Xenopus tropicalis: one gene and its partners. The protein of the gene in region 2 binds, or shares a complex with, the protein of the main gene of each other region. Links are inferred from orthologs where the notes say so. Each region holds a gene or a part of one and is shown on either strand. Other genes may lie near its edges.

Region 1 (3,650 bases), on a different chromosome or scaffold from region 2:
TCTCCAGCTGAAAGGAAGGAATGGGGTCAGCAGAGGATTGTGGGTCCCGGCTGATAAGGAGTTAATGGGACTTACCTTGCTGATGGTGAATGGGCCAAACTGGGCCGGCGTGGTGGCATCATCCAGGGGCCAGTATCGCTCACACTTTCTCTAGGGGAGGAATGGGGATATATAAATACAGGAGAAGGTGGGGCCCTACAGTACCGGCCCAGGGGCGTGGCCAATCCTCAAACAGGAAGTGAGGTCACATCTGGCATAGGAGCTGATGCTTTTGTGCCACTAAGGGGCTGTGGGGGCCCCGGGCTGGTGTGGGGGCCCACAATACACAGTGTAGCAGTTTTAGCTTATTTCTTTGCTGAGCTTTAGTTCCCCTTTAAACAGAAGCAGCTTGTGAATAGTGTTCAGGGAATAAGGGTAAGAAATGCCCCTGTTGGATCTGCCGGGGCAATCTGAGCTATTTGCCCCCCCTTCCCCCCCCCCTGTGCATATTCCCAACTAGGGAACAACCCTCCCCATAGATCAACCAATGGCAATGGGGGGCTGAGATGGGCGGGGCATTGAGAGACAGGTGGGTACTTACCTTTCCATGCTCCACCTCCCTGCACGCCATCACAATGACCTGCCCAATGACAAGAGACAAATGATGAGAGGAGGGATCCGGCCCTGGGGCCGACTGAAGGGCAGTGCCCCCCCCTCTTACCTTCACCTGGTACTGCCCCCCCTCTTACCTTCACCTGGTACTGCCCCCCCCCTTACCTTCACCTGGTACTGCCCCCCCCTCTTACCTTCACCTGGTACTGCCCCCCCCTCTTACCTTCACCTGGTACTGCCCCCCCTCTTACCTTCACCTGGTACTGCCCCCCCCTCTTACCTTCACCTGGTACTGCCCCCCCCCCTTACCTTCACCTGGTACTGCCCCCCCCCTTACCTTCACCTGGTACTGCCCCCCCCCTTACCTTCACCTGGTACTGCCCCCCCTCTTACCTTCACCTGGTACTGCCCCCCCCTCTTACCTTCACCTGGTACTGCCCCCCCCCTTACCTTCACCTGGTACTGCCCCCCCTCTTACCTTCACCTGGTACTGCCCCCCCTCTTACCTTCACCTGGTACTGCCCCCCCCTCTTACCTTCACCTGGTACTGCCCCCCCCCCTTACCTTCACCTGGTACTGCCCCCCCCCCTTACCTTCACCTGGTACTGCCCCCCCCTCTTACCTTCACCTGGTACTGCCCCCCCCCCCCTTACCTTCACCTGGTACTGCCCCCCCCCCCCCTTACCTTCACCTGGTACTGCCCCCCCTCTTACCTTCACCTGGTACTGCCCCCCCTCTTACCTTCACCTGGTACTGCCCCCCCCCCTTACCTTCACCTGGTACTGCCCCCCCTCTTACCTTCACCTGGTACTGCCCCCCCCTCTTACCTTCACCTGGTACTGCCCCCCCCCTCTTACCTTCACCTGGTACTGCCCCCCCTCTTACCTTCACCTGGTACTGCCCCCCCCCTTGCCTTCACCTGGTACTACCCCCCCTCTTACCTTCACCTGGTACTGCCCCCCCTCTTACCTTCACCTGGTACTGCCCCCCCCTCTTACCTTCACCTGGTACTGCCCCCCCTCTTACCTTCACCTGGTACTGCCCCCCCCTCTTACCTTCACCTGGTACTGCCCCCCCCTCTTACCTTCACCTGGTACTGCCCCCCCCTCTTACCTTCACCTGGTACTGCCCCCCCCTCTTACCTTCACCTGGTACTGCCCCCCCCTCTTACCTTCACCTGGTACTGCCCCCCCCTCTTACCTTCACCTGGTACTGCCCCCCCCTCTTACCTTCACCTGGTACTGCCCCCCCCTCTTACCTTCACCTGGTACTGCCCCCCCCTCTTACCTTCACCTGGTACTGCCCCCCCCTCTTACCTTCACCTGGTACTGCCCCCCCCTCTTACCTTCACCTGGTACTGCCCCCCCCCCTTGCCTTCACCTGGTACTACCCCCCTCTTACCTTCACCTGGTACTGCCCCCCCTCTTACCTTCACCTCACCTGGTACTGCCCCCCCTCTTACCTTCACCTGGTACTGCCCCCCCTCTTACCTTCACCTGGTACTGCCCCCCCTCTTACCTTCACCTGGTACTGCCCCCCCCTCTTACCTTCACCTGGTACTGCCCCCCCCTCTTACCTTCACCTGGTACTGCCCCCCCTCTTACCTTCACCTGGTACTGCCCCCCCCTCTTACCTTCACCTGGTACTGCCCCCCCCTCTTACCTTCACCTGGTACTGCCCCCCCCTCTTACCTTCACCTGGTACTGCCCCCCCCTCTTACCTTCACCTGGTACTGCCCCCCCCTCTTACCTTCACCTGGTACTGCCCCCCCTCTTACCTTCACCTGGTACTGCCCCCCCCTCTTACCTTCACCTGGTACTGCCCCCCCCTCTTACCTTCACCTGGTACTGCCCCCCCCTCTTACCTTCACCTGGTACTGCCCCCCCCTCTTACCTTCACCTGGTACTGCCCCCCCTCTTACCTTCACCTGGTACTGCCCCCCCCTCTTACCTTCACCTGGTACTGCCCCCCCTCTTACCTTCACCTGGTACTGCCCCCCCCTCTTACCTTCACCTGGTACTGCCCCCCCTCTTACCTTCACCTGGTACTGCCCCCCCTCTTACCTTCACCTGGTACTGCCCCCCCCTCTTACCTTCACCTGGTACTGCCCCCCCTCTTACCTTCACCTGGTACTGCCAGACCATCCTCCAGAAATCCTGTATGGTGTGCGGGAGGGGCCCCTGGGTGGCAATGTAACCGCGGCCCGGATCCGTGCCCTGCGCGACAGAGGGTTCATCAGTGCCCTGGCATGTACCCCATGTACCCCTGGGAAATACAACTGCCCCCCCATTATTACTCTGTAAGGCATTCCCGCCAATCAGAATTCTAATTCTGAGGCTGGCACTGACTCCTCCTACCCACTAGGGGGTACCTTAATGAAGCCGGCACAGATACCCGCTAATTCTGGGGCTGGCACTGACCCCTCCTACCCACTAGCGGGTACCTTAATGAAGCCGGCACAGATACCCGCTAATTCTGGGGCTGGCACTGACCCCTCCTACCCACTAGCGGGTACCTTAATGAAGCCGGCACAGATACCCGCTAATTCTGAGGCTGGCACTGACCCCTCCTACCCACTAGCGGGTACCTTAATGAAGCTGGCACAGATACCCGCTAATTCTGAGGCTGGCACTGACCCCTCATACCCACTAGCGGGTACCTTAATGAAGCTGGCACTGATACCCGCTAATTCTGAGGCTGGCACTGACCCCTCCTACCCACTAGCGGGTACCTTAATGAAGCCGGCACAGATACCCGCTAATTCTGGGGCTGGCACTGACCCCTCCTACCCACTAGCGGGTACCTTAATGAAGCCGGCACAGATACCCGCTAATTCTGAGGCTGGCACTGACCCCTCCTACCCACTAGCGGGTACCTTAATGAAGCTGGCACAGATACCCGCTAATTCTGAGGCTGGCACTGACCCCTCATACCCACTAGCGGGTACCTTAATGAAGCTGGCACTGATACCCGCTAATTCTGGGGCTGGCACTGACCCCTCCTACCCACTAGGGGTACCTTAATGAAGCTGGCACAGATACCCGCTAATTCTGGGGCTG
Region 2 (3,650 bases):
CCTCAAAACTTTGATGGCAACTGGGATTTTGATGTTTTCACCATCTGGAATCCAAATACCCTAAAAATGGGAAAGACAGCCACGGGATAGGGTTTACCAAATGGAAACATATTGTTTAACCACCCTAGTGCTCAACTCTTTTCTAAGCATAGCTAAATGAGGTTTAGACTGGGTTTAGACATCTCAGAGTCTTCAGAAGATCAACTGGGATTCAAAATAGGCCTTGGAATTTCAAGTACACAGAGGCCCTAACAGCCCCCCAGCAGCCCAATAAATAGTGACTATGTCTCAGAATGCTATGGGGCCTTAAAAACAGCAGGGGGCAGCACTAGTGCACTAGTGTAATTATTTCAGTGTCAGCTAGTTCTGCCTCAGGTCCAGTTTCATTGGAACAGTCTAGTTTTGATAAATGCTGCCCCATTCTGTAAGCTATGTCCAGGTTGATGTGTTGATTCCGCAGTGTTGGTTACACAATGGGGTCTGTGGTGCACTTTTGGGGTACTGGGATATTGTGGGGTGCCCAGGGTAGTATATATTCAGCTTGAATGATACCTTTGACAAATACAATTTTTCATTTTACTTTACACTGCTTTAAGCATTTCTGTGTTAGCGACCATAGCAACCAGATTGTACTTTATATTTATGGGTTGGTATCCCATAAATCAGTGCTGTCCAATTGGGCCAATTAATTCTTATACAACACGTTTCAGGGCCAAATTGTATTAAAATGACGATGTCATACAATGAAGACTATGGAACCCTAGAGCAAACTGGGGGCCAATTAGAGGGTCACATCCAGCCTGTGAGCCTCTAGTTGGACAGTCCTGCTATAAATGATGGCTAACTGTAAATCTTCATAATATCATCACATCCCCAAATACATATTTAGCTGCCGTTTCACTTATATAAATAGTAACGTATAAGGGTCTAGTTCAGAGATCCCCAACCTTTTATACCCGTGAGCCACATTCAAATGGAAAAAGTGTTGGGGAGCAACACAAGCATGGAAAAAGTTCCTGGGTGTGCAAATAAGAGCTATAATTGGCTATTTGGTAGCCCCTATGTGGCCGGGCAGCCTACAGAAGGCTCTGTTTGGCTTTACACTGGGTTTTATACAACCAAAACTTGCCCCCAAGCCAGAAATTAAAAAATGAGCAGCTACTTTGAGGCCCCTGGGAGCAACATCCAAGGGGTTGGAGAGCAACAATGTTCATTCCTTCTTGGTCAGTCTATTGTTCACTGAAGTAGTAGCCTCTAATTGCTTGATCTGACATACTGTATGTTGCACTGAGAAACAGTTAAATATGTAGAATTACAAAACAGTATCCATTTCCATACAAAACAGTATCCATTTCCATGATGTCTCACCTTGTACACAGTACCAAATGCCCCAGATCCTAGGATCATCATTTTCTTAAGTTCTGTCTCCTTAAGGATCCTCATCTGGGCTTGGTTGGGAATAGCCCCACTTGGAGTCAGCGGTTCCACAAGCTGGAAAAGAAAGCACAAGGGAAATGGAGAGGAGATCATATGCCAAGTCCCTGACTCCGGTCTATGCTCTATATAATAAACATGGGCTGTGGCACCACACACACCTCATCCTGTAAAAGGCGGCGCATGGTGTGCTTCTTCTTCAGCTGCTTTCGGCGCCGGATATACAGCACAATGGCAGTTGATATGGTTATCACAATCAGAATGCTAATCACAATTGAAGCTACCATGTACACTTGGCTGCAGGCGATGGGAGAAAAAGGAATAAGACAGATGTTATGGAAACTCAGAAGAAACTAGAACATGCTGCAAATCTACTAGAACTTAATCGCCAAACTTACCTGTTGTCTGGTAAAATTGGGCAGCCCCTTTCATCCAGCTGATTGCACCTGGTGGAACAACAGCAAGCTAAGTACTGTGTATTTATATTGACTACAAGTGTTATCCGATAACGGTTTTGGACCCTATGCATTATGCATATATTATTACTGTGGCTTATATATTGTGTTTAATCCCATAAGGGCTGTTTCTCAGCCTGCGTATAAGCCAAAATCCGCATTGTGTGTCTGCACCCAGGCCATTGTAGTGGCTCCAGGTTTAGATACACAACTGGGCAGATGCCCACAGATCGGCTTATTCTCGGTCTGCACTAATACGCAGGCCGAGAAACAGCCCCTCAACTCCTATCTCCTACCTTCGGTGACTGGACCTTAGTGTCGGCCCAGGGCAGGACACATAATGCGCATTTCAGTGTTGAAATGAGCAAGTATGCATTTCAGCCCCAAAATTCACTTTGTGTGCCTGGAGCCGGGCAAACGCAGAGGCTCTTGGTGCAGACACACAAATGAGTGGATGTCCGCGGATCAGCTAATTCTTGGCCTGTGCTTAAGGGCCGTGACAGACGGGGAGATTAGTCACCACGCGACAAATCTCCCTTGTCGCGGGAGACTAATCCCCCCGAAATGCCATCCCACCAGCTACAATGCAAATCGCCGGTGGAATGACATACGCGGTGCCGAAATCGCCGAAGTTTCCTCTCAAGGCAACTTCGACGATTTTGGCAAATCGCCATGCCGCGTATGTCATCCCACCGGCGAGAGAAGAAAGAGAAGGAAAGCTACTGATGCAGTTTATTGCCAATAGATTAGCCACAATAGTGCAAGCTAGAACACTATATTCTGCAGCAAGCTTTACTATACCTGAGTAAACAGCCCTAGAAGCTCCCTCTGTTTGTTTAAGAAAGCAGCTGCCATGTTAGTTTGGTCTGACTTCACTTCCATGCCTGCATCCCTGTGCTCTGGGCACAGATTACAGCAGAGGCAAGAGGGGGAGGAGGAGAGGAAGAGAGGAGCAAGCTAAGCATGCTCGAGCCCAAACCCTTCAGTCTGATACTGAAGAACATGTGGACAGAATAGAAGGAAAGAAATGCTGTGTTTCTTTTGGCAGAGGACTCAGGGCAGCATTGCTGTGGGTGTTTATGGCTGTATTTACATAGGCGTGCCTGATAAGGCTTACTTAGTTTTAACCTTTACTTTTCCTTTAAATGAATGCCAAGAATCAGCCCCATGTGGCATTAACCTATGTTGGCAAGGGTAGAAAACTAGAGCACTGTTGAGATACCAATGAACATTACGTACGAATGGGAGCAGTTGACATTGCATAACTGGCAGATCCGATCCTTGTCAGGGTATTTCCAAATGGGTACAAAGGAATTTCCCTTCACCCCACTAGGGCATTGCTCCACACAGTCTTCTCCGTCCAAATAGTGAGCACACTCCATACACTGGTGAGCTTCCTGTAGGAATAAAAACAAAAATAATTAAATTCGATACACTTGTGTATTTTGGTAAACCGTTTGTAGACTCCACATTACACAGGTTTAACTTACCGTGCCATTGCATGTCAGAGTTCCATTCTGTGGGAGGCACTGAGGGTGGCAAGGCACACACTGACTTCCATTAACGTGCTCTCTTGGGTATCTGAGGGCAAAAAAAAAAAACAAAAGCTCACCATAAAGGATTATGGCATGTTGTAGCTTGTACTTAATCAGGTCTGAACTGGGATTCACAATAGCCCCTGGCATTGCAAGTACACAGATGCCCAAACAGCCCCCCAGCCCAATAAATAGTGACTGTCTGTGGCACCTTATAGCCCCCCTG
Region 3 (2,839 bases), about 100 kb from region 2:
CTTCCCACCCCATGTCAGGCCACCCCACCCAACAGTGCAGGTAGGTCTTCAAACCACTGAAGCTCCACTGGGTGATGGTCCCCATGCCTCTGAAAGTTTGCCAAGATTAACAAGTAACCAATTTTCTAACATTTTAGCAATTCACAAATCTCAAGCCTGGTACCATGGGCGCCTGTCAAGAGATGAGACTCAGCGGCTAATCATGCAGCAAGGGATGGTGGATGGGTGAGTGGCTGCCAAGTCAAAGTCATATCTGTTCTTTTAAAGTACCCAGAGGTTGTGTTGGGAAAAGCTAGACATCATAAACATTGAGAAGGTCACACAGCCAAGGGGAACTTAACATTTATTTCTTGGGTGTGTGGGCAGCGTCAGACTGGGCCTCTTGGGCACACAAGAGAACTTGACTGTGGGGCTCACTGTCACAACTAGTGGGAGTAAAACCTGCTAAACCATTTAGTTAGAACTAAGTGGAATTACTCTACAGAGGTTCCCTGGTACCCCAGCAGGCGAGTCTGACTCCCGCGTATGGGCCGAGCTGCTAAATGTAAGAGATGAAGCTATTGGCACAGTTCCAGGCAGAAAAGTGTATTTTTATTTTCATTTCTATTTCATCCTTGCCATGTCCTTGCTTCCTGCAGAGTTTTCCTGGTACGGGAAAGTACGAGAAACGCCAAAGGCTTCGTCTTGTCTTTGTGCCACTTGCAGAAGATCAAACACTACCTAATCTTACCGGTACGTGCCAGTCAGAAACCAATATGGCAGAACAGATCCCTAACATTGCCCAAAGCAAATTTTTTGGATGATTTATTCTACTTCTCATATGGAACAGATTTACATTGCTAAACTTCATTGATGCCGCCTCTAGTCGCTGGGCTCTCTCTTCTGTGAATGTTCCTGACATAGCGACATTTTATTCTTGCCAAACAGCCCGTCCATCTCCCTCTTACAACAGGATGGCCTGCAATAATGGCCGACTTTCTTTCTTATTGCTTGTTGCTCTATTCCTTTGTTCCTGCAATCCCATTCCAAAGTTTCACAACCTGTCTGGTTCTAGTGATAATTTGCATCCATGGTCTAACAAAGGTGTTCCAATGAATTTATGCATGTTACAATTGACCCTCTTACACAGTGATCCCCAACCAGTGGCCCAGGAGCAACATGTTGCTCCCCACCCCCTTTGATGTTGCTCTCAGTGGCCCATTTTTGGCTTGGAGACAAGTTTTGGAAGCCCAGAGACACAGTTTTACCCCAAGCAGAGCCTCCTGCAGGCCAGTAGGCCACATGGGGCCTACCAAATAGCCAAGCACAGCCCTTATTTGGCCCCCAAAGAACTTTTCATGCTTGTGTGGCTCCCCAACACCTGAGTGTGAGTTATGAGTAAAAAAGGTTAGGGATCCCTGCTCAGCATTTTTTGTTATTCCACATTTTAATGCTTTATTTGTTGCCTTGATTTCAGTGTGAGGAAGAAGGCAGGCCTTACTATTCAATGGATGACGGAGAGACCAAATTCCTTGATCTTATCCAACTGGTTGAGTTCCATCAGATCAACAGAGGAATCCTGCCTTGCACTCTGAAACACTACTGTACAAACGTGGCACTGTGACAGGGGCCTTGGCTGGGGTCTCTGAAAGAAGACCACTGGGAAGCCATAGAATGGGATGACTGTTCCACTTTTACTGGTATCACTCAGATACAGTGTAGTATTGTGGATGGTTTGGTCCAACAGGGGGCTAGTAGCTGCATGCCCAGCATTAAGGCAAGTGATACAAAAACGATAGCTACCGAGGACTGAGGTATGAGAAGAAACTCAATAAGCTACATTTTTTAAAATCTATGCTGGTGCAAAAGCTTCACGTGACTGTCATGGCAGTCAATAAGACAATTTGGTTCCAAAGAAAGACTCACTTTCCCTTTTCTGTGGACGCCCACGAACAGATGAAGAACGCTGGGTAAATGCCATGGTAAGTGGTGCGTCTGTTGCTGAGAGCACTGTACTGTAAATATCAACACGGCCAGTCGATGGTCAGATGTTTTATATGGTAAATCCTAACTATATATATATTTTTGACATCTATTTTTGCTTATTTTTGTACAAAAACACTCTAACCTCATTCTGCTTATGAAGAGAACATTTTATTTATATCTACCCAGACGTGACACGTAATAAAAAAAAAAAAAAAGAGAGGAAAAGCTGCACTACCCAAACGTTTGTGGCTGCTGTGTTGTTGCTGTGCATTCTGGGATTTTCATGGCCTGTTCCTCCTCATTGGCATACATTTTAGCACCAGTTTTGCACTGTACAGAGGCGCAGAAGAAATAATGTATGAAAAACCATTGACTTCATTCACAGAACAATCCACCTGATTCCACTTGTAGGTGTTGGGGGCCCTAGCCATTAACTCATTTGCCATTATTTATCCAATTCCTACCCAAAATCTCATAACTGTCCAATAGTAAAGTACACACAGATGTACAGCTGTACACAAGGCCTCCATCAGAAACTTTGGGGCCCCCATACAAGTGATTTATATAGGGGTCCCAATTATTAACACAAGCACCAAGTACCACATTTTTGGCCCATGTGTGTGCATTATAACCAGCTGATGTAACTCTATTATAAGCAGTTCATATAAAGAGTTCCATTGATTAATGCACTAATTAGAGGTCAGTTCATTGGTGGTCAGTGGAGTTTGCCCTAAGTTTAACCCCTTCCTACCTACCTGCCCATAGAGGACTATAGAAATACCTTGGAGGGTCACATTCAGCCCACGGGCTGATAAGTTAGATGTGGCTCAGGAACAACATATTCCTTACCAACGGCTTGGATGTTGCTCCCAGT

The links.
Region 1: the proteins of erbb2 (region 2) and ptpn18 are in contact, whole or in part, in a crystal structure (PDB 4NND), measured with the Homo sapiens proteins. The link is inferred for Xenopus tropicalis from reciprocal best matches to the Homo sapiens genes ERBB2 and PTPN18. Residues at the interface, in NP_004439.2 of Homo sapiens: Leu1109, Gln1110, Arg1111, Tyr1112, Ser1113, Glu1114; in NP_055184.2 of Homo sapiens: Arg61, Tyr62, Lys63, Asp64, Val65, Arg138, Asp197, Arg198, Ser230, Ala231, Gly232, Cys233, Gly234, Arg235, Arg268, Ala273, Gln276.
Region 3: the proteins of erbb2 (region 2) and grb7 are in contact, whole or in part, in an NMR structure (PDB 2L4K), measured with the Homo sapiens proteins. The link is inferred for Xenopus tropicalis from reciprocal best matches to the Homo sapiens genes ERBB2 and GRB7. Residues at the interface, in NP_004439.2 of Homo sapiens: Pro1135, Gln1136, Pro1137, Glu1138, Tyr1139, Val1140, Asn1141, Gln1142, Pro1143, Asp1144; in NP_001025173.1 of Homo sapiens: Ser437, Arg438, Glu439, Gln442, Arg458, Glu459, Ser460, Asn463, Gly466, Val468, Lys476, Lys478, His479, Tyr480, Leu481, Ile482, Tyr492, Phe493, Ser494, Met495.

What each region holds. Positions count from the first base shown.
Region 1 is NC_030684.2:703,629-707,278, reverse strand, and holds part of ptpn18 (tyrosine-protein phosphatase non-receptor type 18), read right to left. Parts: intron 2,808-3,650; coding exon 2,712-2,807; intron 620-2,711; coding exon 581-619; intron 151-580; coding exon 76-150; intron 8-75; coding exon 1-7. UniProt on the Homo sapiens protein: Differentially dephosphorylate autophosphorylated tyrosine kinases which are known to be overexpressed in tumor tissues.
Region 2 is NC_030686.2:9,815,379-9,819,028, forward strand, and holds part of erbb2 (receptor tyrosine-protein kinase erbB-2), read right to left. Parts: intron 3,471-3,650; coding exon 3,380-3,470; intron 3,287-3,379; coding exon 3,129-3,286; intron 1,881-3,128; coding exon 1,833-1,880; intron 1,732-1,832; coding exon 1,596-1,731; intron 1,492-1,595; coding exon 1,369-1,491; intron 61-1,368; coding exon 1-60. UniProt on the Homo sapiens protein: Protein tyrosine kinase that is part of several cell surface receptor complexes, but that apparently needs a coreceptor for ligand binding. Essential component of a neuregulin-receptor complex, although neuregulins do not interact with it alone.
Region 3 is NC_030686.2:9,714,368-9,717,206, reverse strand, and holds the end of grb7 (growth factor receptor-bound protein 7), read left to right. Parts: coding exon 1-40; intron 41-137; coding exon 138-225; intron 226-638; coding exon 639-732; intron 733-1,456; coding exon 1,457-1,603; 3' UTR 1,604-2,205; downstream 2,206-2,839. UniProt on the Homo sapiens protein: Adapter protein that interacts with the cytoplasmic domain of numerous receptor kinases and modulates down-stream signaling. Promotes activation of down-stream protein kinases, including STAT3, AKT1, MAPK1 and/or MAPK3. Promotes activation of HRAS.